Coturnix japonica: one gene and its partners. The protein of the gene in region 1 interacts with the protein of each later gene in a biochemical or structural test. Links are inferred from orthologs where the notes say so. Each region holds a gene or a part of one and is shown in the gene's direction. Other genes may lie near its edges. The genes, in order: MAPK1, SMAD1, MBP, HIF1A, TNFRSF1A, ATF2 and PTPRR.

Region 1 (4,389 bases):
CTCAAAACAAATATAGCTGTTTACCACTTTTAAGTCCATAATCTATAAACCACCATAATAAGCTTCCTGCAAAGTCGGTCAGAATGCTGAGCAGGGAAGAAACAAATACTGGGGGAAAAAGAAAGTGAGTTTGTTTTGGCATCAAATTGCCCTGCACTTTGGGCAAGATACTGCTTTTATCTGCCCAACAGCATAAAATGACAGAGATTCTCAGTCACGGGGAGGTCACTTTACACTGCTGAAGCAGTGGATGACATTTAAATGACAACTTGTCCCGTGGGCTTTCGGCTGTATGACACCAGTTCAATCAGGCCCAGGTAGGTTCTGATTAGAAGTCATTAGCATCTGATGCTCTTTATGACTCTCTTAGGATGGCTCCCAGTGGATCAGAGCTCATATCCGAGCAATTTCAGTTTGTGTCACATTCATCACCATGGTTGCTGACTGCCTTAGAAGTTAAAATACATCTTTATAGAATGCCTTACATGTCTTACTTCTCTTTCTTCTCCTCCAGGCAGAGGCTTGAAGTCTCCTTAAATAACACTTGGAAAATTGCTTTCTGTACTGGATGTCTGCATTTGGTTTGGACGACGGGGCACTGGGAGCACAGCACTGAGCACAGCACTGAGAGCACAGCACTGAGCACAGCACTGAGAGCACAGCACTGAGCACAGCACTGAGAGCACAGCACAGAGAACACAGCACAGAGCACAGCACTGAGAGCACAGCACTGAGCACAGCACTGAGAGCACAGCACTGAGAGCACAGCACTGAGCACAGCACTGAGAGCACAGCACTGAGCACAGCACTGAGAGCACAGCACTCTCCCTGCTTCTCCCAGGCCCCTTGTTTCTTTTACTTGTTACCTTTAAGTTTCCTTTACTTGTTTCTATAAACTACCTTTAAGTTTCCTGCATCACTGTTCAGTTTGAGTTTTAGCAGAGAAAACGAAATCCCCAAGAGCAGCACTGTGGGGCAGCTGTTTGTGCTTTTTCTAAGCCCAATGATGCTGTTCATTTTCTTCTCTCCACTCGTCATTACCCGCCGTCATTTCGTGGTATCAGCATCCCCTCAACATAACGCCGTGTTTCAGCCATCAAACCAATGACCTGCTTGAGACACCTTCCCATTCCTTCTGTCACTGATGCTTTAATGTCAGCTCAGACAGACGGCCCGGCCCGGCTGCGTGTGACAGCACCGTGTGTGACAGCACCGTGTGTGACAGCACCGTGTGGGCGCGGGAACGCGCACGTAGCGCCGGACACGGAGCCGCGGGAACGGCTGCGTGTCCGGCCCAGAGCGACGCGCACGGAGCTCGTCCCCGCACGGTGCTCGTACCCGCCGTGCTCGTCCCGTCCCGTCCCGTCCCGTTCCCCCCCATCCCGGTCTCCATTTCCTCCCGCCATCACCTGACTCCTCTAATGGCGGCGCTCGGAGCGGCCGCGCCCACCACGTGACCCGCCGCCCACGTGACCCGCGCGCCGCGCCCCCTCCCCGTCGGTTGCGGTTACCGCAGTCCGAGGCCCCCCCGGTCTCGCCCCGCCCCCCGCCCCCTCCCGTCCCGTCCCGTCCCCGCTCTGGTGGCGGTGGTTGCTCGGCGGGTCGGTTCGTTCCGTTCTCCGCGGCCCGTTCTCCGGCCGGTGCTTCTCAGCGCGGTGTGGCGGAGCCGCCTCCTTCCTCCTCGCTCCCTCCTTCCCGTCCCCTCCTTTCTCCTCCCTCCCCTCCCCGCACGCAGTCGCCGCGGTTCCCGGCACGGACAACATGGCGGCGGTGGCGGGGGCCGCGGCCGCGGGCGGCTCTACCGGCACCGGGGGCCCGGAGATGGTGCGGGGCCAAGTGTTCGACGTGGGGCCGCGATACACCAACCTCTCGTACATCGGAGAGGGGGCGTACGGCATGGTGTGGTGAGTACGGCATGGTGTGGTGAGTACGGCATGGTGTGGTGAGTACGGCACGGGGTGGTGAGTACGGCATGGGGTGGTGAGTACGGCATGGTGTGGTGAGTACGGCATGGGGTGGTGAGTACGGCATGGGGTGCTGAGTACGGCACGGGGTGGTGAGTACGGCACAGTGTGCTGAGTACGGCATGGGGTGGTGAGTACGGCTCGGGGCGCTGTGTGAGTGCGGCCGGGAGCGGCCCGCGCGGCCTCGGGGCGGGGCAGGTGAAGGTGAAGGCCGGGCGGCCGCCGCTTGCCCTGCCCTGGGCCCTGCCCTGCCCCGCTGTGCCCTGGGCCCCGCTGTCCCTTTGTGCGGCGCTCACCTGGCTGCTGCTGCTGCTGCTGCTGCTGCTGCCCGGGCCTCCCGCTGCGGCTGCGGCCGGGTGGCTCCGCTCGGCCCTGCCCGGCTGGCAGGCGGCGGCCGGGCCGTGTGTGCGCGTTCTGCGCCGACCGGTCCGAGCTCCGAGCGCCAACCGCGAAATGCGGGACAACGATCGCGAGATTTTGGCGTTGTAGCAGCGGCCCCGACGTGCCGGGCCGAGCCGCGGTGCTGCCGCTGAGCTCCGGGCTGGGCCGGCCGTGCTCGGCTCGGGGCACCTGCTCTGCATGGGCGGCTGTGGATGGGAAACGCAGCTCCTCGTTGACGGGCCCATCGCGGCGCTTCCCGGTGTGTTGTGTGACCGGAGGTGCTGTGTGACACTCGCAGCTATGGTTGTGTAGCAGCTTTGCTTTCTCTCTCTGTCGGTTCGTGCTTTGTAAACCGCAGTGTATCGCTCAGCAGAGCTGCCTTGCTGCCTTCAGCTGCACGCTGTGGATCTGCAGGTTTCCTCTCGCAGCTGTGGGGATGTGCTGCTCCGTCACGGTGAGGCCGAGCTGTGTTGGTGGGAGCTGGAGCCGCTCCTGAGCTGCTGGGGAGGCAGACAAACATCTGCCAGGAACTTTAAAGCTGCGGCCTTTGCTTTTGTGTTGTGGGAAGAAGCTCCAGCACATAAACCAAAAAAAACAAAAGCTCCCGTTGATGGTGTAAAAATAACCTTGTTATTGGTTTAGTGCTGGAAGTCACAACAACGGCCCGTCCAGAGCTCGTGTTCCAGGTGTTGTTATTGTGTGCCTTTATCAGCGGAGCCGGGTGGCAGCTCGCAGCCCCAGCAGAGCTTGGTGCCCGCAGAGCGATCCAGGCAGGAGCTGTGAGCAGCGCCGTGCCGTGCGGTACCGAGGTGGTGCCGCAGCCGGCTGCTCACGCTGAGATGTTTGTGCACGGCGCAGTGCGGTGGCAGCTGATGCCCTTTTTTGGCGTCACCGTGATTGGGAGCAGACAGGGAAACGGGGTCCTTCTCTTCCCCTGCACACGGTGTGTCACTCCATTCTGTTATGGAAGGGTTTCCTCTCTGAAACTGTGGAATATTATCGTCTGTTTGGAAACTTGCCATATTAAATGATATTCTGCTTCAAATGCTATCTGTATTTCTTAACAAAAAATTCTGAATCTCCAGTTTAGTTGAGATATTCATTTGGCTCCTTTGTTTTCTTCTCTAAAGCTGTTGGTGTGAAATCCTGAACGTGATACATTGCACTGTAATTATTGATCTTCTGCCTTGGGTGTGAAATGCCAGGGAACAAAGTCTCAGTTTATGCGTGTTTGACAAAGGAGGTGCTGGATGCACATGTTCCAGCTGAATGCCATAGCAACTGTCATGCCTTGCAGCGCAGCACACCGACTACTATGGTTAAGTAACAGTGCTTACTGAGCAGTGCAGGTAGAGCTTATGCAGATTCGTACTGCGTGTCCCGGGTCTTGCTTTGACTGTAACGCAGTGCAGATCTGCAGAGCATCTCCCTTCCGGGCTGGGGTGGCAGAGGGCAAAGCCACAGGGTGCAGGTGGAGACAGCTCCTGCTATTGAAAAGCCATTTAGGTTTGTACTCTTAAGAAAGGACAGCAAGGCAAGCGTTAATGGCTTTGTTTTAGGCAGTCAGCTGATGTGTATGAGACAGAAGGTGCTGGTTATTTCTAAATGCATTGTGCTGTAAGGCTTGCTATATGCAAAATGGGTGGCTTAACTCTTAGTGGAATCCCTCACTCGCTTATTTTTCACAAGTGTTATGTTTCCACATCGCTGAATTAGGGAGTTCATATTTAAAAAACATCTTGCTGGGAGTTAAGAGGTTAATAAGTGGGTATCCATGTAAGCATCCCTTCCCAAACTGTTGTTTTTCACTTTTCTTGCACGTGGAACCAGGGGATGAGCACCATGCTGAGATGTAGCTGAAATCCGCAGCACCTTGCTGACAGTAAGACATGAAATAGCAAATACAGGGCTTTGTTGGCCTGGGATCAGCCAGTACTGGCTGCTGCTGGAAGCTGCGGAGCTCTCAGGTGCAGTGATGGCTCTGGAACGAAGCTGCCCCTTCCTCGCCAGGTGCTGGTGGGGCAGCCTGCCTCGAAAGGTTCTG
Region 2 (4,451 bases), on another chromosome or scaffold:
AGGTCATTCAGTGAGGAACAGGGAACTTGAGGCTATCACATTTTTACACATTTAAAGTATAAATGGGGTAAATTAGGTGCTCCCTTGTGATGATGGGAAAAAAAAAAAAAATGGATGAGGTCTTCATCATATGGGAAGGAGGAAAAGAGAGAACAGCGTTAGGGGTAAGGCCAAAGAGGTAAATGCATGCAGGAAAAAATAATCACAGTGCAGAACAGTGTAGGCTGCAGAAAGAGGCAGGGCAGAAAAATATGAGGCTTGCTGGGTTAGGTCAGCAGGAGGTAGAGAGAGGGCTGGCAGAGAAGCAGCAAAGGCATGTGTCTGCCCTCCAGAAGGAGCTGCACAAATATCAGCTGGGGAGGAGCTGCTCTTGCTGTGCTTTATAGGATCAAAGAGCAAGTGGAGTGTTTCTGTGTCTATTTGTATAAGGTATAATGCAATGCAATTCTGGTCCTGATTACTAATAAAAGATAGCATAGACACAATTAAAAAGCACCTCATACGGACCCAAGTAGAAAAGATGAGACAAGGCTTGGCAAACCACTGGCTGACCTAGTCTGTCACTCCTTATTTTGTTCCTATTTATTCATCATAGGGCTAATTAGTAGTATATTACAGGACTGAGGTCATTAAGACTCAGGCTTCTTTGCATCTTCTCCAGCTAATTTTTAAACTAACTGGAGTGTTTTGGTAGACAATGCTGCTGTTTTCCATCCCCCAGCCCCCTCACCTTTTGTTTTGGCATTTACACGTGGTCACTGCCTTTAGTAGGGCTTCCTTTCAGCATATTGCAGTGGCTGGAGACTTCCCAGAGTAGCTGTGTTTCTTTCCTGTTTCTTGTACTGCTGTCCTGAAACAGGTGGGAGCAGCATGCAGACTCTGCCCCATGCACCTTACATCAAAAGGACCTCACTTGGTATGTGCAGACTGGGAACTGAGCTGCACTGCAGAGAACTTCAAGGATGACAGCGCTGGAAAATCAAATCAGCTTTAGAGAGAGAAACACACAGCTGGGTCTGCACTGATAACAAGCATTTTCAATCACTAAATCATGAAAACTGCACCATGCAGGGATAATTGTCTCTTGTAAATGGCACTGTAGTAACTAGGAGGCCAGTGATCTGTATTTAATGTGATTATATACCACGAATCAACGATAAGGCAGGCATTGCTTCTCTGATTCACTTTTGTCGAAATTGAAAGAACGGAAAGTAAAACAAAAATCAGAGCAAAGCAAGTATAAAAAATGTGAATGCTTTTCAGCCTAAAAGTTCCAGAAATTAATTATTCTATAGCCTGATACAGTCAAACACTACGTATCTATGAAGAACAAAAGGTTTGTAAATTCACTTTGGCCTTAGCCATCCATCTGTGGGCAGTGTTATGCGGTGCGGGAGGTAGGAGACCTGACTGCTTGCAATCCTCTGGGCATTTTCCTCTCGAGCCATTGGTGCTATGTGGTGCCCTGGCTAAACTTTAGGTTGGTTAATTACCTTCTGACTAGTTAGTTCTTCAGGAAGCATCATTGTCACTGTCTTTAATGAGTCTGAGATAAAACTTTGTATGCTTTGTTAGAGCACAACAATTCTATGTAAAATTCTATATGTATATTGTGTTTTGCAGGCAAAGATAGTGACTGGAACCAAAGAGACTCAAACCAGAATAAGGATGAACACACACTAGATCAGAATCTGGGGAAATGAGGTGAGGTTAACAGTTGAGTAATTAGTGGTGTGAATGAGCAGAAATGTGAGTGTAAAGGGAAGAGAATGGAACTGTAAAAGAATATGTTGTGTTATCTGCTCCGTTATTGCATATGTCTTTCTAGAAAATTCTCATGATGTTTGGAGTCTGAAACCAACTTACATTTCTGGCTTTTTGTGTCCCAGTATTGACAAACTTTAAAGTAGGATTTTGAAAAAATAAGGCTGGCAGGTTATACCGGGATCAAAGAAACTGAACAATCTTCCTTTCTCTATTACATTGCCTCTGAAAATGCCATGCCCTCAAGCAAAACCAAGGATGATTTTTTTAATTAATCACAAGGCATGACTGTAATTTTATTTCTCATCTGAGAAATGAGAAATCTGCTCCCAGCAGCACAATGACTCTCAACTACGACCAACCAGGACTAGATTGGGGTATCTCAGACATCTGGGAAATTAACTGAGAATTGAAACAGTGCATTAGCAGTTGTCATCTAAATCCTATGTCAGAATCCTAAACTGTTTCTTAATCTATCCATGTTTTCCCTGGAGTGTATCTTATCTGTGCACTGACACACTGACCAAGTTTGACATATTCTGTTCAGGATTTGATGAGATCACAGTGCAAGACTGTCTAACTGCAGGCCATAAATTGTTGCACTCTTCCATCTGGTTGCTCTCTGACAGGCATATGCTTTGCTTAATCGGGGTGATATACTCTCTGTCAGTGCCATCTTCTAGGTGCTGAAAGCCTTAGGAGCATGAACAACTGAACTGTAGGGGTTTCACATGCCGTGTGACAGTACTTTGCAGAAGCTGGACCAGCTGTGCATTGGCTGAGGCTAATTTCTGATTACAGGTTTCCAGTTAGAATAAGGCAGCATTGCTATATCTTGCTATTTGCGGTTACTGAGGGACTTCCTTGTGATGATGATGTCCATATTGAACATTTGATCCTTGTCTGTAAAAGTGATACGTTTCTGCACTCAGATCAAATGCTTCATACTGAAATCTAATTGTCTGAAGAGGCACATGGGTACCTTAGTCTCATTGACTGTGGAACTTAGAATACCACTTTCCGAAGTATTGGTGAGCCATGAGGTCTCTTCCTCTGACATCAGCAGAATCTCTGGATATGCATGGCATAGTTCAGTCCTTAGAACTATGAGGGCTGTCGGCCCATGACATTAAAGGCAGTAGAGGTTGAACCTCCCTGCCAATATCCCTTTACATGTTGCTGCCCTGTGACAGATGGCAGCAGAGGGGCAGTCTGACAAAATGATGTCTGAGGTAGAAGTGCACGTAAAGCAAGGATTTGTCACTGAATTCTTCCATGCGGAAAAACTGGCACCCACCGACATTCATTGACACTTGCTGAATGTGTATGAACAAAGAGTGTCAGTACAGTGAGGCAGTGGGCAGTGTGTATCAGCAGTAGTGATAGCGACGTGAAAGACAAGCCATGATCCAGGCAGCCATGCATGTTTTCACCAGCATGGTATGCAGTCTGTTGTTCATTGCTGACAAAAATGCATAGCTAATTGTGGTGGCTCTGTTGAAACGCAGTGTTTTGTAGCTGCAAATTTGCTCTATCAGGTAGCATTATTATGTTTTGTACCTGTTGTAGTTTCCAAGGAATAAATAGGAGGCATTACTTTCGGAGCAAACTACGCATAGTATTAGTGGGCTAAGATAATTGTTTGTCATTCAGGTTGCCTACACTGAAACTGTATTGATTTGATGTATTCAGAACTTCATCAAATATTAATTATCCTAGGTGTGTGCTTCAGGCAGAATGTGTAGAAAATGTCAGAGAAAATGTTTCAGCCTTTCTGAGAACAGGACAAAGAAATGAACAGATTGTTTTGCCAGGGCTGAAAATGTTAGAGAACTTTTGGGAAAATATATCAATTTGGCAGGAAAAGGAGAGATGATTTTTCTTTGACAGGAGATGAGCAATGAGGTGTAAAACAGCTTTATCTTAGCCTCAGTTTTGCAACTAGGTATTGCCAAAGCCCTTTCTGTAATGGTTCGCTACAGCATAATCTGGTGGGGAAAACAAAATCACTGTGTGTTATTTCTGACCACTGTTTGTTCTGTTCTTTGAATGTGACAGATCTTTTGGAAAGAACATGTATAAGCAATAGAGGATGGGCGTCAGGACCCGCCGCGACTGAGTACTTAAGATGATAACAACCACATTGATCCTGATAGGTCCTTGCTTTCAGCGGCCTAGTTTTGCAGTTTTTGGCTTATAGTGAGGACTTATAGATTTGTGCAATAATATATGAAATGTAGAGGGGGTTGCTTTTAAATCTACTCAACTTGTTTGTAAAAAATTTGGCTATTTTTGATCTATGAAGGAAAGACGGAGCTTAAAATTGGTCCTAATGCCTTTGTCTTGTGGGCAACATTTTCCAACACTTTGCATGACTGCCAGGATGTCTGAAGCCTATGATGTCATTTCCTCCTGAAAGTGCAAACAGAAACCAATACATATACATTTATTCTCAGGACTTGTCAGTTATGGAGAAGTCACTAAGAACTCATTACCTTGGGATGACTAATTAATTACTAATTTACTTACTCTCCATAACAGAGTAAATAAGCTCATTCAGTTCCTTGGTCCTATCATTCTTTGTCTTCTTTATTCACCAAAGAGCCCAGCTTACAGTAGCTCTTCTGAACTCACATGTGCTGTTGTACTTGAAATGAAAGAGTTTTTCCTCGCTTCAAAAGAAGTTC
Region 3 (3,882 bases), on another chromosome or scaffold:
CTGGTTTTGTTTCATAGAATCATAGAACCATTAAGGTTGGAAAAGACCACTAGGATCATCTAGTCCAACCATCTACCTCCCAGCAACATGGCCGACTAAACCGTGTCCGTAAATGCAACATCTACCCTTTCCATGGAACATCTCCAGGGAAGGTAACTCCACCACCTCCCTGAGCAGCCTGTTCCAGTGCTGAGAAGAAATTCTTCCTAATATCCAACCTGAACCTCCCCTGGCACAACTTGAAGCCATTCCCTCTAGTCCTACCGCTAGTATTTTGCTTTGTATAAAACAGGTTCTGACAGTAGCAATTGTTCAGACAGGGCTGAGAGGTCCCAGCTAACTTGAGGCTTATTCAGGGATGTCGTTTTGATTGTCAAGAGATGTGATGAATCACTGTTGCCAAGTTGAGCTTCAAGGCACAGTGGTTTTGAGCATAGTGAGGTGTGGCCTGACTCCTATTAAAGACAATGGAGGTTAGTTTTAATATTGGTTCACTGAAAGTCCCCTCAGAGTTTCCATTCATTTAATTTCATTAACTGGCTGTTTAGATTTTTCTGGTTCATCTATATTGCTTCATTTTGGAAACAGATGGCTTGTCCACTCAGACCAACAGCGTACAATTTAATAGTCTTCCAGTTATGCTTATGGAAATGCAATGTGCTGTATTTACTCTTAAAATTAACCTAATTTGCAAGACTTTTTTGGGGGGTAAAAATAATACCTGCAACCCTCTTCTTCCCTGACAGCTTTCTCTTGTACAAATGATGTGTCATAGGAAGGCTATTCTTGCTTATTTGAAGTCTTATACAGCCTTGTCAAAGCAGAACTTCATATTGCAGGAAGAAACAAACAAAAAACACATCAGCATAACTTGCCCTGTCTTTATGATGGGCCTTAGTAGAAGTCTAAATACTTGTTTCTAACCAGACCTATGCACAAACGTTTGCATGTTCCATTATTTCTGGGTCTCTTAAAGGTGGCTGCTCTCTCAAAATTCGCTTGAAGACTTCACTTAGTTAGCTCAAATATTGTTATTTATGTATTTTTACACCTTAAAGAACACTTGAGCATGAAGAAAATTTAGAAGAAAACTTACTTAAATGTATGCTTTCATTACTGAAATAGAACATACAGAAAGATTTATGCTTCACAGCTCACAGAAGCAACTTTTATTGCACAAATGCCCTTCTTTGTTGCTTACCAATGCACGTATTCAGTGACACAAAGCACAACTGTTGTAAAAAATATTAGTATGCAGATGCTCTGGTGTCTTGTTAATGCATTTAATTAAATACAATAGCTCTTTTGTTTATTTTTCTTTTTCTGTCCTTGAATGGATTTGTATTATGGTATAGAATCCGGGGTTATGGTTGCTATTTAAAATGTTTTGCAATTTCAGAAAGTGTCACGTACTGGTGATGCTATTTTATCTTTCATTTGATTAAGGAAAAACAGTTGAGGTTTAGTAACTGGTAAGGAATCCAAAAGCATCTTCTCAGGAGAACTAAAATCACAACGGTGCCAGCAAATATCTTCCTCTTCTCTTCTGATGAGGTCTTAAGTTACAATTAGCAGTGGTTAAACAAGTATAATCCTGAGAAATACTTTCAAGTGTTTTAACCAAAGGAAAGTCTAAGATTCCCTAATGTAGTCTGGGTAGTTTTCAAAGGCACACATTGGAATTGCACAAAATATTTTCATATGAGAAGCTGTGTTAGAACTGCAGCAGGCTGATAACAACAAATTGTCACTTGGTAAGTACTAGGTATGTAGTTGGAGAAATCATAATTTCTGTCTTGTGCTTTTACCCTTTAATTTACTTCAGAAATGCTCTCAGCCTGAGGAGAGGTTTCTTCAGTGCCCTGTGGGTGGGAAAAGTGGCATAAAATGACTTCATCAAGTCCAAAATTGCTTTGAAGTACTGGAGCCCTGGCTATTTAGGAAATGTAACAGTATTTGCCGGATTCTGTTCCTCACATGGCATCAAAGGCCAGAGCAAAGGGAGATTTAATGAGGTAATCAGGAAACCCTAAAAGTAACACGTGACTAACTAGAACTTCTGTCTGAAATTTCAAGCTTTATTAACTCCAAAAAACTTGATATTTGTGACATGGGGGGTGTGTGTGAGAAGTGTTTGCTCTGAGACTGATTCTCAAGCAGTAATCTACCAACAGGTTTGGTTTGGTTTTGTATTCCTGGGAAGGCATATTAGATGCAGTATGTATCTACATGTTTTAGTCTACAACAGAGGAAGACAAACAAAAAACTCAGTTTTCTATCAACATAGAGCATGTGTTAAGTGCTATGTGTGCTGTAACGGATTTATTTTGCAGATAATCCAGTGTGTGCATCAGAACCCAACTGTAGAGAAGGCAGCAAATATTGGCACAGGTCAAGGAGATCTGTCTTGGAGCTTCTCTTGGAAAAATGCTCACTGGGTTCTGTGAATCCTTTTTAATCACTTCTCACAAATACTAAATGCAATTGGGATAGCTTTGCTCATGGCCTTCAGCATCAGATAGTCTGGGAAATGTAGGGAGAACAACTGTCCTGGGAGGCAAAGCAGAGGTTGCAGTTTTTTTTTTTTACTTGTTTGAAGAGATGATAATTAAGTAGTAAATAAATCTCTCACACCTCATTTTGCTTTTGTTCATGAATTTAATGGAATTGCTTCACTGTCAAAGTGAGAAATTCAAAGCGGGGGCAGAACTTCAGCTGGAGAAGGTTGGACAGTGCAGAGGGGGAGCATGCACTGGGAAGTGATCAGTCCTGCTATGTCACTTGAACTACTTTCCCCTGTTTAGGAGACAAAAAAACATGCTGTAGAGTTCCAGTCTTCAGTGGAAAGTACTGGAAATCTGCCTGTCCAGACGTTGTAGCTAAAAGCCTCAGGGTCACTAAGCTTTCCACATAAGCCAATTGAAGTCAGTTATGCTTCTAACAAATTAATCTATTTACAAATACTTGTAATTTAAAACAAAAACAAACAAAAAACAAAAACCACAAAAACCACCTAGAACTACTGCAAATTTCGTGTGAGAACATCACTGCAGTTTCAGTTCCAAGATAGCTTAATGTTCTTGCAGGCTGCTAGAGAACATAGTTGCGTCGCAACAGCACATATTACGGGTTTTGTATGAAATGGCCATCTCAAGGCAGTGGAAAGAAAGCAGCATTGTTCCCGGGCTGTTTTTCACAGGCCTGTATTCATATCTCATCCTTGTTGTTTGCAGGAGAGGCAGATGTGAACCAGAACAATGGGACCTCCACGAAGAGCCCAGCGGTGACAGACTCCAAAGGCACAGCGGATCCGAAGAATGCCTGGCCCCAGTCCCACCCAGCTGACACGGCCGGTCGCCCCCACTTGATCCGCCTCTTTTCCCGAGATGCCCCGGGGAGAGAAGACAACACCTTCAAAGATCGGCCCTCGGAGTCAGACGAGCTACAGACCATCCAAGAGGACAGTGCAGCAGCTTCAGAGAATTCGGATTTGATGGCTTCACAAAAACGCTCCTCTTTCCGGCACGGATCAAAAATGGCATCGGCAAGCACTATAGACCATGCTCGACATGGATCTCCAAGGCACAGAGACTCGGGTCTACTTGACTCGCTGGGCAGATTCTTTGGAGGTGACAGACACGTTCCCCGGCGGGGCTTTGGCAAGGTGAGCTCTGAGGAATAGAGAACTGCACAGCTCCAGGAAAAAAAAATAATATACAATTAAAGAGATAAGGGTGGGACTGAGAAGAAGGTGTAACTGCTAGAATGCAAGAGTTGACTTAGCCAGCAAGACTGTACTTGCAGTTGTGTAACTTAATGCTTGGCTTTGATCTGAAAATAACAAAAAAACAAAAACAAAACCAACATAAATCTGAGAAATGC
Region 4 (3,882 bases), on another chromosome or scaffold:
AATGCATCAGGGAGGTAACTGAAACAATGTTTAAAATTAGTTTTTCAAAACTCTGTAATTCTCCCTTTTAAATTAGAGGTTATTCATTTGTTAGAAATTATAATTACTAAATGCTTGCATAAAGCCGCCTCCTCTGAGGGAAAAATACCTGACGCCATTTATACTGATACTCCATTCCTTTTGATTCAGCTTTGCAAATCCAACAGTTGAGGTTCCTCTGAAAGACTCCTGTGTTGTTCTTTCTGAAGTTGCTGGCTATCCCTTTTGTAATAGCTGGGACTAAAAGAGCCCTGTCTGATAAGTGTCTGAGATGGATGCATTTTCATGTCTTCCTTTAGGCAGCCTTTTACTGTATAAAGTGGCATTACAGTTAAAAATATCCTTTTTAACTTAAGCTTAGTTACTGTTGATCAAAGAACAACTTCTTTGCTGTACGTGAACTATTTCTAGTTCAGATTTCTGTTTTTAAAAGGGGAAAATGAGAAAATGCAAACCTTCTCATCGTTTGAAGAATGCACTTGATTTTGTCTTCTAACATCACTTCTGCAGATCTAAAAGGGAGGCTGATACTATTAGCGTAACTCTCAGGTTGACATAGTAGGATGCCAATTGCTTACCAGTGTAATGAGTTTAGCTGTCAAAGACATTGACAGGAATGCAGAAACTTCTGGCATTGCTTCTGCAGACATGAGAGGAAGGAGCTGGCAGAGTGTACTAACAGCCTATGTAAGATGACGAGAACTGTCTGTATTTTAACAATCAGTTTAAATGCACTCTTGTGTTCCTGCTGTTGATAACGCTGAGCCTAGAGAGGTGGGGAGGGAAGCACTTAACTCTGTGTGCATCAATGGAAGTGCATCTGTGTTGGCTGACAGAAAGCAGTCTGGTCTCTTCTTAAGTCTAACTGTCCCACAGGTACTGCACTGCACTGGACACATACGTGTATATGACACATGCAATAATCAAACTCACTGTGGCTACAAGAAGCCTCCCATGACGTGCTTGGTGTTGATATGTGAACCAATTCCTCACCCATCGAACATTGAGGTCCCCTTGGACAGTAAGACGTTCCTCAGTCGTCACAGTCTTGATATGAAATTTTCCTATTGTGATGAAAGGTAAAATATATTCAGCTCTTAAAATCTGCATTCATGTGAAGGAATGATTTGCAGGGGTTGTGTGTGTTGGCTGATGTGGGCCTCATGCTTTTACAGGCTCAATTATCTGCAAAAATGGAGTTGTCAGTGAGATGCTTTGGCTTTTGTACTGACTGATCAGGATGTCGTATTAAAAACCAAACTCTTAAGTGTAAGGAAGGTGTAGGGTAATAGTGAGTAATTCCTCAGTTAAAGGCCAGTTTGAACAGTGTTGTGGTAATGATTACATTGAAATGAGAAGATTTTTCTGGATGCTGAGAAAATGGAAGGGATTGCTGGAGATGGTGGTGCAGTTTATAGACCAAAAAGAGTACATACATAATATCTGTCAGGCATGTTGTGCTGCTTTTTTTTTTTTTTGTCAGATCAGCATCTGCTTTTTCCAGTCAGGAAAAAAAGTAAAGCTTTGTTCTACTTTTAATGCAACACATCTGTAGTAGAAAACAAGATTTTGTATTATGGTATGTCAGTGATGTAGTCTAATACATACTCATCTTACTACTCTTTGGAAGCTCATGCTTGATAAATCTGAAAAAACAGACAGGAAGGAAATCACTGGCCTTTTTTTTTTTATGGGTTCTATTTATTACTGCTAAGACCTTCCTTTTTTTCTTTAATGTAAAAACGAATTTCTAATCAGTTACTGCAGTTAGATACAAAAGTACGTTAGTATAGGTCACTTTCTGCCCCGTGCAGTAGCTTTACCTTTCTTAGGCTGCTGGTGGTATGTAAAACATGTGAATTTGGTGATGTTGTGCATAAAGCAGGGCCTGGTGCTTTTTCCTAGTTAGCGCTGCCCTCTAGGGGCTGTAGAAAATACTTTGAAAGCCAACAGTGAAGAGAATAAATCTCATTAATAATTTGTTTTAGTTGCATGGTTAAAACTGTTAAAGCATGTCTTTATTTTATTATATTCTCATTTGTGTAAGCTGGATATTCTAGTCTGTAAGTAGCTTGTCTACTTTGAAGCAATAACGTCTAAAAAGCAGGGATTTACTTAATCCTGTCCATCACAGGACATGCTTTATAAATATTCAATGAGAAGTAAAATCCTATGGCTGCTGAAATGTCTTGTATCTTATTAAAGGAGCATTAGGAAAAAAAAAAGCATACTCACACTAAACCATCATTGCTGGTAATGTTCGTGGAAGAGATTCTTAAGTTCTCTGTGGATCTACAGGCATCCATATGCTCTTGTATTTCTGTTGCTCAGTGTCTGCTCAGCAAATTTTCTCTTGTTCTAAAGAATTACAGAGTTGATGGGATATGAGCCAGAGGAACTGCTGGGTCGTTCAATCTATGAGTACTATCATGCGCTGGATTCTGATCATCTGACCAAAACACACCACGACAGTAAGTGAAAAAGATGTATTTAATGCTCTCAAGTACAAGAAGTGAGATAGAGAGCCAAGGGAAAGCCACAGAATAACAAGGGTTTTCCTTTTAATTGCAGATATGAATCTGCAGAGAATACCTAGCTTGAAAAGGGATATATTTTTTTCTGCCTGTAATTAAAGCTGATGTCTATTCTGGTTTTAGTGTTCACGAAAGGGCAGGTGACAACGGGACAATACAGAATGCTTGCTAAACAAGGTGGCTACGTCTGGGTTGAAACTCAAGCAACTGTTATATACAACACTAAGAACTCTCAGCCACAGTGCATAGTATGTGTAAATTATGTGTTGAGGTAAGTTAAGTAGGAATTGCTATTTTTGTCATGACTTATTTTTTTTGGAAGACTGAGTCAGATTCATCTTTGACTTGCTAAGAATCCGGTCCCTATTCAATATGCTGCAGTGCTATCTGATTTTCCTACTGATTAGCTTTTTACTTAGAATGCTGCTAGTCGTAGGATTAGGATTAAAAAAGACAATCACTTTGTAGAGATATCAGTGGGGAGATCTCTGCAGGCAAACAGAATTTGGGCATTGTAGGCACTTACCTAATTTTTGTCCACAGTCTAGAACAGTTATACTCACTGGTAATTCCTAGTGATGGAGTCAGAGGTATCCATTTATCTTTTTCTTCCTTTGAATTCTTTCTACTGAAACCTTAAACTTAAGGCAGACTTGAAGTATTTTTCTGCGACAGTGGAATAGTCCTAAGTTAGTTTTTCACAGCTTTAGTGAACGTACCAGTATCAATCCATCAAGATATAGTACCTTCATTTAAAAAAAGTAGAAGACTTTTAAGGAAAGCCCCGAAGTTTGTTTTACTTCTTTTTCTTACTTTCTTGATGCTTTCATGGCAACTTAGAAAATCGTGAGGGCTGAATTCTAGCTGGTTTTTAATCATCTTCCTTTCTGTCTGGCAGTGGAATTGTTCAGAAGGACTTGATATTTTCCCTTGGACAAACGGAGTGTATGCTGAAACCAGTGGAGTCTCCTGAAATGAAAATGACCAAAATATTCAGCAAAGATGACCTGGATGATACCAACAGCCTTTTTGAAAAACTTAAGCAGGAACCAGATGCTTTAACTGTGCTGGCTCCAGCTGCTGGAGACACGATTATCTCCCTAGATTTCAGCAGCAATGGTGGGTGTGTGTTTAAATTGGAGAGCATGCTAATTAGTAAAGTTTGGTATTTTGCAGTAAACTTTGGAAAATAACTTCCCACTTTCACTTGCCTAGTGATCTCTCAGCCACTGTTTAAAATTTAATGAGGTCCGTAGACACGCTCAGTATTTGTTACTTAGGTTGATGGTCTCTTTTAATTTTTATAGAG
Region 5 (3,882 bases), on another chromosome or scaffold:
GAGTTGGTTCAGTCACTTTTCATTCCTTTCCTCAGAATTGCGGCAGATAGAAGTGACCCCATGCACCCTAAAGCAGGATACCGTGTGTGGCTGTCGGAAGAATCAATATCAGTTTGGCCAGGCTGATTTCTTCCAGTGTAAGAACTGCAGTCCGTGTGTTAATGGAATTATTGCTAACTGTAAGTATAGCATGGGTATACAGATATATCTACTGGCAGATGCCATTAAGATAGATGTTAGCATCCCTCTCCTTGCTTTCTACTGTGGTGCAGCAGCTTGCCCTTAAGCGATTTCAGCTTTGGGACAACTCTGTTTTGCTTGCCTGCTTTCCTGAGGAAGACTGTAACTTTTTTGCATGCCTTGCAATCAATCCCTGTTTTTTTGTTACAAGTTCTACCTTAATTGTGTGTTCTCTTGTGTTGGCTATCATGATATATTTGCTACTTAATTTCAGTAGCTCTGCCTTCCTTGGATGTACTGATGTAAGATCTTTATGTTTGAATGCAGATTACCTACTTACTTTCCTTTTACTTTTTTTTTGTCTTTCACTGGGTATTTTTCTGTATGCTCATTGCATTTCCCTTGCTAACTGGTCTATGTACTGTACGTATAAAGGCTGACAACACCACTGTTTTCAGTGTCCAGCTGAGCTGCTTGTCAGTCAGATGCCGAACCATCACAGTATATCATGCAGTGTCTTGATGTAATACTGAAGTATACCCACTGGGATTTCATCACCATCACTGTCATGTGGGGATGGTGCAGATGTCTAAAAGAACGAGCCATGTTAGCTATGTCAAGCTGTCTCCTTTCCAGTGGGGGATCAGAGATGTTAACCCCATTCTGTTTGCCACCCTCCAGTTTGTCCTGAAGTCTAATTCTGCTCGTGTCCTTTAAATGCTCTTTACCTTGCTTTACTAAAGTAATCCCCTCTTCCTCGTAAATTCTGCTTCTCCTGTCCCCTTTCTGTCTCCTTGTTAAATGCATTCCCTGTGGTGTGTAGTGAATTCTGTTAGTTTTTGTGCTTACACCTGCCCTCAAGGATCATCATCATACACTGTCCTTGAATGACTTCCTTCCCTCATCTGATCTTCGTCCTGTCCCTCACATGTAACAGAATGTATGCTGCTTATTCTAATGCCTTTTTACCTCTCTTTTTTAATGTTGTCCTTCCTTCACTACTCTTGCCTGCTCTTTTTTAATTTCAGCATCTGTGCTGTGGCTTGCTTAAAAGCAATAGGTCTTCAATTTCTCACCCTGTACACTCATAGAACAGATCACAAGTGTGAATATGTGTGTCCCATCGCTTGAAGTGATTTCTCCCTACCCTGGACTGACTTCCTCAGCAGTCCCAGCTGCTCAGAGACCACTTCTTCCTCATTTTTGCCTAATGTAATTTCCCCTTCCTGTCACACTTGAACTGGAGTGACTTTCCCCATTCTGCGCTGAAACTATTCTTATCCATCAGACCCATCTCAGATGCAGTCTTCTTTTTTAACCTTTCCCAACCTCTGCAGAGGTGTCTGACCTACCAGAACAGTGATGCCCTCACCTTTATTATTTTTTTCTTCTTCCCCAGCCCCAAGTAATCTGAATCTTCTTTCCTTTCTCCAATAACAGTTCTTCAGGCTCAAAGAGGAATAATCTCCCACCTGTCTTGGAATGAATTTTTCCCCTTTCTGTTTCTTTGTTGTCCAGATTTTGGCAAGAGTTTCTTCTTTTCTCTGCAGGTTCAAAGGACAGAGATGCAATTTGCAAGTGTAAGCCTATGTTCTTCATGACGCTTAATAACCTTTGCAAGCATTGCAACAGGTGGGCTGTTTTTCTTTTTCTCTGTGTGACTGTATGTTGAACAGGACAGAGAACTGACTCAAGTTCCACAAGGGGAGGGAATTTTTCTCAAGGTTCTGTCCATCTTCATTTTACAAGGTTCTGGCTTTCTGGAGCAATTAGTATTGTCCTTCATTGCAGCCCTCTCTGATCGAGGACCACAGTCATTAGGCACACTTCCTTGCTGTGCTTTGCAGGCTCCTCTGGACTTGTTCTAGGATTGTTGCAAATGTCTGGTGTTGCATTTGCTGCATGCTCACATTTCTGATTTACTTTCAGCTGTGTTGGAGAAGAATGCCTGCAGTGCAGTAGCCCAGTGACTACCTCACCGAATTCATCTCAGCCGAGTGAGTACTGGGGGAACCTCGAGGATAATGGGATCTTTTCAGTGCAAACTTGTTTTGTTGACATTATCTGTCAACACCTTGCTGTCTCTAGTGTTTCAAGTCATTATTCATTACTCATCACCATTTGCATGTGCTCCCTTGTTCTTCTTTCTCAGGTACCTAAGTACTTACCTGTTCCCCTCTCAGTCTCTCACTCATTCACCTTCTCCCTTTTGTCCAGATGGGAACCTTGTTCTTGGCATCATTGTGGCGATATTTGTGGTTATCTGTGTCGTCTACATTGTAAATAAAGCAGTGAAGATGGTTCAGAAAAATGGGATAGCCTCTCCTTTCTACTTGTGTGGTGAGTATAGCAGCATATGCTGTGATACTGATTGTGATATACATCACTCAGCTGTGTGAATGTATGCATACATACGCATATGAGGGAAACAGTGGGATCCATTACACTGCTCTGATCCAAGGCTAGAGGGAATGTGAAAACTCAACAGCCAAGCTTGGTGCACTTCCTGCAACTCTGCTTCTGTGCTGTGACTGGAAGTGCATGTGAGCTCGTTTCTGGCAGATGAGAGTTTGCTGTAAAAACCTTTTGAGGTCAGGATTATGAATAGCTGCTTTCCTGTTTTCTCTGGGAAGAGAGGAAGTGAAAATAATTTTTGTTTTCTTTCTTTCTCATTCAAGTATCTTTGCCAGAGACAAGCAAGGAGCCAGTATCTGAGGTGAGCAAAAAGATGATTGTAAGAGTTTCCATTCCTCTTTCAACCACATTAACCTGGGATCCAGAGTAAAGTTGTTCCCCATGAGCTGTTTTCAGGCCTTAGGTTTTCAAAAAAGCTGAATAATAGGGCTGTTGAGTTAAAAAATCTTTCATTGTAGCAGGTGGAGCCATTAAAATCTTACTTCCATTTTGCTAGGAGGTGCTTTTCAAGCTCCTGGCTTTGTGTTCTTTTCTTTCTGGATGCATTGTTTTTTTCAGACAACTAATCCTTAATCCCATTGTCCTTTTATATATTCCAAGATGAGAAAATGTAGATAATTTTATTTCACTTCAGAACTTCAACCCATAATGTTCTTAGTCCAGCTTTACAGCATTTCATCAGCTGTGTTGTTGATTAGCAATTAAGAGCAATAGTCAAAGTAGGGTTTCCATAGTGTTACAAAGAAGGTTGATGAGGGAAGTGGCCTTTGGGACTTCTAGAATGGTGATGGGTTGGGATTCCAGGCTTTCTTTATGTCAAAAGAAGAATGAAATTCCTTGTGAAATAGGCTTTTGATGCCTTCTGCTTAAACAAGAGATACAGGAAAAAATCAAACTTCACCATCTGCTTTCAACCTGTCTTTGCTACGTTTTCTTTGAGAAAGCTGGTGATTCCTTGTAATAGGAGTACTGTGCTGCTGTGGGTGATTCTGAACTAAGACGTTGTCTCTTTCAGGTTGAGGCGAAAGGGAGTGCAATTACTGTCCTTCCCGAGATCCAAAAAGAAAAAGAACTGCTAGTGAATGCAGCACCACCATCTGCACCTCTGCTACAAAGTTCACATGAGCTGCCAGACTGCATCAGAACTGCCAGGAAGAGGCAGCTTCCAGACAGTAGGTGTAACTCCGGTATCCCTCCCTAGGGATATCTGATTATGCAGATATGGCTGGGAGGATGGATGAGATCTTACCAGGTGTGCTTGCCTTGTGTACGCGCATGCATACTTCA
Region 6 (3,882 bases), on another chromosome or scaffold:
TATGTTTTAGTAGTCTTAAATGGTCACAGCCTGTTAATGTACGTGTAAGAGGGTTCTCATTTTCTTTGTAGTTGTCAGAGCTATTTCTTAGACACTCTTGAAAATTGTGCTTCGTTCTATTTTTAGTACTGTGGGAGAGTTTTCTTAGTTCCATGAAGCTTCAGTAACAGTTGTTATTCTACGTAGAATAGACTAATATACCACTGCAAGTACCTAAAGCCTTTCAGACGTAAAATAATAAACATAAAAAGCTTAATTTATTATTTGAGAGTTTTCAAGTTCATTATTGTTTCTTATTAACGGTATATTAAAAGGAGACCCTCAGAGTTTCTCACGTTGTTCTTCTTGTTGTTGCCAGGTAACTAATTCCCTAAACTAATTATTTCAAAACCATTTGTTTTCTTACATTGCTTCTCAATTACAGCAATAGCTCTGGCCATCTGCCTTTCTGTATAAAGAATTCCAAGCATTCATTGATTGTGTTAAAAAGTCATCGCATGGTATTTGCTTTTAGACTCAAAATCCCTGCAAATATGCAAGTATTGAAAACAAATGTAAAAAAATATAATTGTCTTCTGCAAAAAAAATTTCTGAACTTCAGTGGTTTTTAGTTTCAAGAATAAGGATTGAAGAGGTCCTTTCAATAAATCTTCAATATCTTTGAATAGGTTTAAACTCCTTTTTCTTTTACAGGTGGGTACAATCTCTTACGGTCATGATTCTGCCAATTTATCTTTTTTTTTTTTTTTTTTTTGTCCCTGTTCTTTAGCAGAATTTACAAACTATCCTATTTTAGACAAAATTTACACTTAATAAGAACAATTCTTTGTCCAGTGAATTTCTTTATTGGGATGGCGTGCTGGCGGGTTTTTGTATGTTCATAAAACAACAGTTTCTTGTAGATCCAATACATCTCCAGTTTACATTATTGCAGCATTGTTTAATTAGCACATGCTTTCCAGAGTTTAACTTAACACACGTTAGTGTGAGAAGAAGAAATGGAAAATACTTTGTTTTCAACTGAATAAAAGTGTTCTTCTTTTAATGTTTGGCGACCATTTTTGCTCTTTTAAACAAAGCACTGTATTTAAGATAGGCTGTATTTAATTGAAAGAGTTGCATGCATATGAGGTTTCTGTTTTCAGGATTTTAGATAATTAACTTATGTTACTAGATTGATCTTCTGATGGTCACTGAAATACATTTACTATGGAGTGCTTGGTGTGAAAGATGAAAATTACCTTTCTTCAGGTAGAGACTCAGTCCAGGAGGAGATTCATTTTACAATCAGTATTTATTAGGGTGCTCATCATTTAAGCTGTTATCAATAGCCAATATTCACATAGTGCAGTAACTTAACCGTGTTCCATAGTTGAAGTAGAAGTTGGGAGGCGGGTCCCAGCTGCTTGCTCGTAAGTGGAAGGTTGTAGTGGTGGAGGGTTAGGTGGCTTTTTGGAAGCCCTTTAGGAGGTCTGTTCTGTCACCAAGTCCATATATAATCCTGTAGTCTTCACTTGTACGTAGCAGCCACCAAGTTCATGGATGTTACCTGAATCGTACAGTATGTTGACATTGGTGTCCATGCACACCCCAGTGACCACGTGCAGATTCAGCTGCTTTTCTGAGTTTATCCATTGTTACATATTCAACAGGGCTGTTTTTCTCTAGAGTTTTGTAGTCTTTCACATGCTGCCTCTGAGCGCATGCTTCTAGTTTTGGTCTGTTGTATTCTTGCAGCTATTGCCCCATCTGCTCACACAGGTACTTAAAAAAAACAACTGTTCCCACAGACCCATACAGAAAAGGGTCTGCTCTGGCATTACTGTTACTGAGAAGGTATGAGTATCTGCACATGAGTGCATTTTTGTCTTAAAGCTGTAACACATGGTGGTTCTGTGGCTGTAGCTACCTGTTTTTGTTGGGTTTTTTTTCCCCACTTTTTTATAGAAAGTAGTATTACTTTGCCATGGGTATTCATTCTGTGGTGTTCATGTATCTGCATTTATATTTATATGTACGTATATGTGTGGTTGCTGTGTATGAAGATGTTTCTGGTGAAAGAGCAGAAAAAAACCCACCATCTCTTAAAGCTGTTGGTTCTGCTATGTATGGCAAAGATGGGTGTTCCTGTGTTGGAGACTTTCTGGTGACTCTGCTAGCCTCCTTGGGTGTAGTAACAATGCAAGCGGCAGGTAGGAGAAAATGAAGCTGAAACGAGTGAAGAATGGCACAATGCTATTTTTTCAGTTAACTCTCGCTAGATTCAGGGCTTCTGCCTTCCTTTAACTTCTAGTCTCAGGAGTGTAGCTATATGGGCCCTTGACTGTAGAGTTAGTGTGAAAATACCAGATACTGTGGAAAAATCCCACGTAAAGACAATCTGAAGTCTGACCATATGGAAGGTTTCCTGAGAAGGAAGAAATTGGTTTTGGCAAGGCACTTTTGGTTTCACTGGGTTACTCATACTACATTCCAGGTCATAATATGTGTTACCTGATTGCTAGGCTAAGAAATGCAGTGAGTTCTGTCTACTGTCTAGTTGTAGCTAAGGGGATTCGTTTCTTGTGCTAGGATCATTTTCTCTGTGTCATGATAGCCAAATATTTTGCAAAGCATCTGCGTTACATTCTAAGGAGTTGTAACTGCATAACACACTATTTATAAAGCATATGTAAGTCAGATATAAAGGATCATAAATTATTTCCTTTATACTAGAAAATTAACCTATTTTGTTTTTGTTCAAGTATGCAAAAATAGACTGAATTTGAAATGTTCACAAGGACACCATGAAATGTTTTCTTACTTGTTGTGGGTACGGTGGTGCAGATAGCACCCTGGGTTTCTTGGTATAAAAATATTTAACTAATAGTTAGATTTGATTGGATATTAATAGTAACCTTATCATAAATTGAGCCATGATTGGTCATAAAACTAAAATTAAACTACAATAAATTTCATTTTAGTGATTGAAATAATTAATCCAAAGGTTTTTATTATTTTTTTTTTAATGTACAATTGATTGTTCCTGCTGATTCAGATGTTAGGGAACTTCTGATACGTTCAGTTAAATTGTTTTCCTTTTATGACCTGAACTAATGGTGTATAACTGTATTTTACAAGCAGATTGATCTTTGGTTTCTCCTCAGGAGGTGTCACTGCAGCAGACTGCACAGCCCACATCAACAATAGTTCGTCCAGCATCGCTACAGGTTCCTAATGTGCTACTTACGAGTTCTGACTCAAGTGTTATTATTCAGCAGGCAATACCATCACCAACGTCTAGTACTGTTATTACCCAGGCTCCATCCTCTAACAGACCAATAGTGTAAGTTACATAAATCTTGATGTAATGCTTTCTTGCAGATTCTGAAAATATTGTCTTGTTAACTGTCCGTTACTGTTGCTTTGGTTATTATACAACTTTGAGATGCTTGCATGAAAGTGGTGCTTCACTACAGGTGAAATGCTATTCCGTGTTCTTCAGGTCAAGTTCATATTTTTAATCTCTAAATATTACATTGTAACTGTTTATATACCTATGTGTTTATACAATGTATAAGCTCGCTCTCTTCTCTGGAAAAGTTTTCTCTAATACATGTAATTCTTTTTTCAGTCCAGTTCCAGGCCCGTTTCCGCTGCTGTTACATCTTCCGAATGGACAAACCATGCCTGTTGCTATTCCTGCATCTATTACAAATTCTAATGTGCATGTCCCTGCTGCAGTTCCAGTAAGTAAGCATGATGTTATATTGATTTGAAAGTGTAGCAGGTTTGCGTAAGTGCAGTGTAGAACAGTTGTATTGGTTTCATAGGGTAGTGGTGTCATATACGCTGTATTATGATAACATACTCAGGCTTTCTTCATTTTTATACTTTATCTGG
Region 7 (4,406 bases), on another chromosome or scaffold:
CAGCTGCCTACTTATTGCTCTCAAATGTACAGCTCTGGGGCCTGGGTACACAGGAACTGCAGTTGTGGGGCCTTAAGAGGAGTGCACTGCACAGATAGACAGACTTCTATTCTTCACTTCTTTTAGTTCTGATTTTACCTATTCAAAATGAGGAGGAATAATCCGGATCATGGTGTGCTTCAAGTAGTATATGCCCACATCAAATTACCACCAAAAAGCAGCATAGGTCCTGTGAGTTAGCAGGGCATGTGAGGCACAATACCTACAAAGATATCACTGAGATGACATGGCTCAGGATGCTACCGTGCTCAAGTATCCCCTCAGTCCTTTTAGTTCCCCCATTTCGGGCTGAGCTCAAGATTGTGCTGTTTTCCAACCCAGGCGTTTTTTCACTTTTATTGCTGTCAAGCAGCCTATCGGCATGCCAACAGCCGTGCGGGGGCTGGCAGAGGAAGTTCGTTTGCATACGTACAGTCACACATGCAACCACGTCTATAAATCTGCTCCTGTGCAGCCCTCTGCATCATGACATTAAGGAAATGTCTACACACAGGTTTGTCTGAAAGCAACTACAAGAAAGCAAGCCCTGTTAATCTCTGTAGTTTCCTACTTCACTCCAGAAACTGTTTCTGCTGCAGGATGGACCATCAGCCACGTGCAACCCCAGTCCTGCAGACGGGCCACTTGTCGGGTGGTGCGTGTGTTTCTTGCTGTTGAGGCTGACCTCCGGTGACTCTTGTTCAGTTAAACACAGCTTTAGCAAATAATCGTGTTAGAGATCGTGTTAAATTTGCCGTGCCTGGCCTCGGTATTTGGGACTGATATTCCTGTTACCAGGCTTTGTGGGTGCCTGCCGGGTGGGTGTTGCATCAGCCCACTCCAGTGGCAGCTCAGCAGCCCCAAAGCCAATGCTACTTTCATTTCAGCCATGATTCCCAACACAGTTTCTGCTAAGCATTTATTTACAACACAGAGTGTCTGACAACAAACTGAAGGACAGGACTGCTTCCCCTGCAAGCACAAAAAACACACGTCTCCTACTTCCTCTGGGTCGAACCTCATACATACGCCCTTTAATATTTGGAAGACGCAACTGCATCAGCGAGCCAAGGCTGCGGTTGAAGCCTGATGGAGAATCCCCCCCGCCTGCCCCACTGTCTGTCTTCTCCCTCCCGCTCCTGGACGCTCTGCTCGCATCCCCTCACTGCTCACCCATCTCCTCACCCCGCGGTGGGGGCATCACCCACCCCACCTCCCTCCCGTCCGCGCAGCGCTGCGCAGGCGCAGGCATGCTCACTGCCGGGGGGAGCGGGACGCGGTGGCGCGGCGCTGCTCGCCTCTGCTCGGCTCCACTCGCTCGGCTGGGCTCGGCTGGGCTGGCACCATGCGGCGGGCGGCCGCGTGCCTCCGCGCTCTGTGCCTCCTGCTCCAGCTCCGCGCCGCAGGTGAGCGGGGTTGGCCGCGGGTCGGGCGTGGGGCGGCCGCGCACCTGTTGTAGCGGGGCCAAGGCTGGCGGCGGGCGGGATGGATGGAGGGCGACGTTTCAGCACCGCGGTCAGCGCTCTCCCGGCCCCGACCGCGGCGGAGCGGGGACAGCGAGCGAACGGGAGGAGACGGATGGTACATCTCCTCTTATCCTCTTTTTCTCCGCTTTCCTCTTCTTCGGGGGCGGGGGGCTGCTCTGAATCCCTCTCCTTTATACAGAGCTACACCTCATTATCCCCAGGATGGAAACAGAATCTGCGGTAAGGGTAGAATTAAGTAAGTTCTTAGCTAGGAAAGTAGAAGTGTTTCCTTCTCTATGGGCAGCATTGCTACTTCTCAGGTAGAAAATGGCTGTTGCATCCCACGTTTAACTTCACTGAAGTTCAATTAAGAGAAAGAAATGAACGCACCCCCAGATGCTATGCACCCTTTTGCTCCCATAAAACGATGCTTTTAGGAGAGATTTTAAAGATGTGAGTCATTTGCATTGCCTTATCGCAGAATCATTAAAAGTAATAATTGAGCTTCATGTCTCTTTGAATGTGGAAGCAGTGTGCGTACACAGATCCCACGCACAGCCGATCTGTGTATGAAAACAGCTGTGTGTCTGGGTGCAGCTGTGAGGGGGCACCGCATCCTTTTGTTTGCTGTGGGCTGGAGAAGTGCCATGCAGTGGTTATTGGTGTTTGATCGCCCTGGAAAAGCAGGCTGCACTTCATAAAACCTCAGGATCCTTTTTCCTTTCTGGTTAGGAAGCTCATGCTGTTATATCTTATATACATGTGTGAGAGAGACTATTGACTGAAAGGCAGAGCACATCCTGCAATCCATTTTAATAACAGCCTTAAGCTGCTATTAGATTGTTCTTTTACAACATGTATTAAAGTGATCATGTGTACAAAATTAGTGCACAGCCTCTGTTTCACAGAACATGCTTTCTAATCTCAGTTCATCCTCTAATAATAGTGGACTTCACATTAGTTTAGATGTGAATCATTTTTCTATCTTACTAATATCCTGCCAGAAAGCCATTTATGTTCCTTACTAAGTTTAACTTGCTTTATTAAGTCACTGAGAATCCTTGCAAAGCTTGACCTTTATTATGAAAGTATCTCTAATAATGAGAAAAATAGAGGAAAAATAACCTACAAAAGTTCATGTGGTGTTACTTTGTTCCCCAGGCAGTCTTGGAGAGTAAGTCTTTCAGAGAAGCCAACTGAAAAAATAGACAGGAGATGCATTCAGCCTTTGCATACTGGGCATGGCTCTCATTGAGTGCAAGAGCTGTGCTTCCTCCAGGCAGGGCTGAGTGCAACTTGTTCCTGTTGAAAGTCATTGAAGATGTCACAACAATAAAATAGCACAGCAAGCTTAAACTGCTCTGATTTCTGTTTCATTTGATGCAAGCAGAAAATGTGATCTTTCATGGGGTACCATTATAGACATCTTTTATGAATAGCCCAAACTTATAAATTATTGACAATGCTTTTGCAGCTTTGGTTCATGTGATATCATAAAATACATTCCCCTTACTACTTGTGCTGGGTCACAGATTATATCCGAAATACCAGTTTTTGGTAGTGTGATGAGAGCTGTTTGCTTTTCATGTTTCATTTTGTTCTGAGGCGGACTATACATGAGGCATGCTTCTGTGTAAGGGAATAGAGGGGACACTGTCAGCAGACATTAACAAAAACTCCCTTAATATCAATCAGTGATATCAGGCTTTAGAGAAAACAGAAGCCCACATTTACTTGATCTGATACTACTGCAAATAGAATTCACTCTCTAAAATGGTTAAGTAGTGCTGTTGGTATACTGGTATATCTCTTTCTGAAATTATAGACACTTGTGTGCATATCTGGAAGCAGAATTAGACCTTTCTGCTGAATTCAGCAGGTAAAGTAAACAACCTGTATAGAGCTTGCTGTTGGAGGAAGACCTAAATTTGTAGTAACTGATTACAGGTCAGTATGAATCTTTGATTTGTATTATGTATCACATGCGAGAGTGCAAGACAGGTTATAATTTTTTTAGCAGCTATGATCTAATGCATGTTCTTGCACTGAAAAATGAATGTTTCCCAAGATTACTAGAGAGCATTGTTTCCTTGTAAGAGAATGGCAGGTGGTAGCAAAAACACAAAATGAGGCATTAGACTAGTTTGCAATTTGAGCTATTTGCATCACAGATTACTCAGCTAATTAACTATTTCATTTCACTTTCTTTTTTAGCAGATTTCATGAAAAGAGTTAAAACATGATGGATAAAGAATTCAGTCATAGTAAATAACTCAGGAAAATAATCTAGTTGTGAAAAATACTTTCTCATTTAATGATTATAACATGAACCCACCACCTCTCTTATCTTAAGATCTTATCAGAGCATTCTTAAAGTATTTTTATTGAGAGGAACAAATTCTGCTGCTGGAAAAGCAAAATCTCAACAACAGGAGATTTGATCAGGTCACCTAAGACATGGTTTAATTAGCAAAGGCCTTACAGTAGGTTGTAGGGACTTCAGTTAAATTGTTTGTTGTTCTCTTCATCAGTGAAGAGATACACTGACATCCTTAAGTATGGAGCAATGCTTCTTTACCAGCCTTTGCAGGGAGGAAGCACATAGGTTCTAGTCTTAGTCTCTCAGTAGATTCCTTCTTGAAGCCTATCAGTTGAATCAAGTAAAATCCAAGTAGGAAACTGGTATTTTATCTCCTTGGGGCAATGTTTTATTAAGATGAGGATTGCTTGTATCAAAACTGAAATTTCTTTGACCACAAGCTAACACTCCTTTGGGAGGAATTCACTAGCTGTAGAACTGGGGGAGGGGGAGGAGGGGAGGCTGGGACGAGGTATGTTATTTTCTAAAAATCTGGGGAATGTAATTCTAGAGATAGATGAGATATGCACAAAATGCATTCA

The links.
Region 2: of the proteins of MAPK1 (region 1) and SMAD1, one has a biochemical effect on the other in vitro, tested with the Homo sapiens proteins (3 studies listed by BioGRID). The link is inferred for Coturnix japonica from reciprocal best matches to the Homo sapiens genes MAPK1 and SMAD1.
Region 3: of the proteins of MAPK1 (region 1) and MBP, one has a biochemical effect on the other in vitro, tested with the Homo sapiens proteins (16 studies listed by BioGRID and IntAct). The link is inferred for Coturnix japonica from reciprocal best matches to the Homo sapiens genes MAPK1 and MBP.
Region 4: of the proteins of MAPK1 (region 1) and HIF1A, one has a biochemical effect on the other in vitro, tested with the Homo sapiens proteins (3 studies listed by BioGRID). The link is inferred for Coturnix japonica from reciprocal best matches to the Homo sapiens genes MAPK1 and HIF1A.
Region 5: the proteins of MAPK1 (region 1) and TNFRSF1A form a complex in vitro, tested with the Homo sapiens proteins (2 studies listed by BioGRID, with this or other methods). The link is inferred for Coturnix japonica from reciprocal best matches to the Homo sapiens genes MAPK1 and TNFRSF1A.
Region 6: of the proteins of MAPK1 (region 1) and ATF2, one has a biochemical effect on the other in vitro, tested with the Homo sapiens proteins (3 studies listed by BioGRID). The link is inferred for Coturnix japonica from reciprocal best matches to the Homo sapiens genes MAPK1 and ATF2.
Region 7: the proteins of MAPK1 (region 1) and PTPRR form a complex in vitro, tested with the Homo sapiens proteins (2 studies listed by BioGRID, with this or other methods). The link is inferred for Coturnix japonica from reciprocal best matches to the Homo sapiens genes MAPK1 and PTPRR.

What each region holds. Positions count from the first base shown.
Region 1 is NC_029530.1:385,756-390,144, forward strand, and holds the start of MAPK1 (mitogen-activated protein kinase 1), read left to right. Parts: upstream 1-1,537; 5' UTR 1,538-1,761; coding exon 1,762-1,904; intron 1,905-4,389. UniProt on the Homo sapiens protein: Serine/threonine kinase which acts as an essential component of the MAP kinase signal transduction pathway. MAPK1/ERK2 and MAPK3/ERK1 are the 2 MAPKs which play an important role in the MAPK/ERK cascade.
Region 2 is NC_029519.1:27,332,423-27,336,873, forward strand, and holds the start of SMAD1 (mothers against decapentaplegic homolog 1), read left to right. Parts: upstream 1-1,628; 5' UTR 1,629-1,704; intron 1,705-4,451. UniProt on the Homo sapiens protein: Transcriptional modulator that plays a role in various cellular processes, including embryonic development, cell differentiation, and tissue homeostasis.
Region 3 is NC_029517.1:81,532,994-81,536,875, forward strand, and holds part of MBP (myelin basic protein), read left to right. Parts: intron 1-3,233; coding exon 3,234-3,664; intron 3,665-3,882. UniProt on the Homo sapiens protein: The classic group of MBP isoforms (isoform 4-isoform 14) are with PLP the most abundant protein components of the myelin membrane in the CNS. They have a role in both its formation and stabilization.
Region 4 is NC_029520.1:49,074,581-49,078,462, reverse strand, and holds part of HIF1A (hypoxia-inducible factor 1-alpha), read left to right. Parts: exon of another isoform or gene 1-915; coding exon 916-1,118; intron 1,119-2,274; exon of another isoform or gene 2,275-2,397; intron 2,398-2,403; coding exon 2,404-2,510; intron 2,511-2,696; coding exon 2,697-2,844; intron 2,845-3,099; exon of another isoform or gene 3,100-3,471; coding exon 3,472-3,692; intron 3,693-3,880; coding exon 3,881-3,882.
Region 5 is NC_029516.1:71,186,191-71,190,072, forward strand, and holds part of TNFRSF1A (tumor necrosis factor receptor superfamily member 1A), read left to right. Parts: intron 1-35; coding exon 36-179; intron 180-1,730; coding exon 1,731-1,812; intron 1,813-2,109; coding exon 2,110-2,177; intron 2,178-2,397; coding exon 2,398-2,520; intron 2,521-2,858; coding exon 2,859-2,896; intron 2,897-3,610; coding exon 3,611-3,767; intron 3,768-3,882.
Region 6 is NC_029522.1:14,864,103-14,867,984, forward strand, and holds part of ATF2 (cyclic AMP-dependent transcription factor ATF-2), read left to right. Parts: intron 1-3,146; coding exon 3,147-3,325; intron 3,326-3,613; coding exon 3,614-3,728; intron 3,729-3,882. UniProt on the Homo sapiens protein: Transcriptional activator which regulates the transcription of various genes, including those involved in anti-apoptosis, cell growth, and DNA damage response.
Region 7 is NC_029516.1:32,690,941-32,695,346, reverse strand, and holds the start of PTPRR (receptor-type tyrosine-protein phosphatase R), read left to right. Parts: upstream 1-1,313; 5' UTR 1,314-1,384; coding exon 1,385-1,445; intron 1,446-4,406. UniProt on the Homo sapiens protein: Sequesters mitogen-activated protein kinases (MAPKs) such as MAPK1, MAPK3 and MAPK14 in the cytoplasm in an inactive form.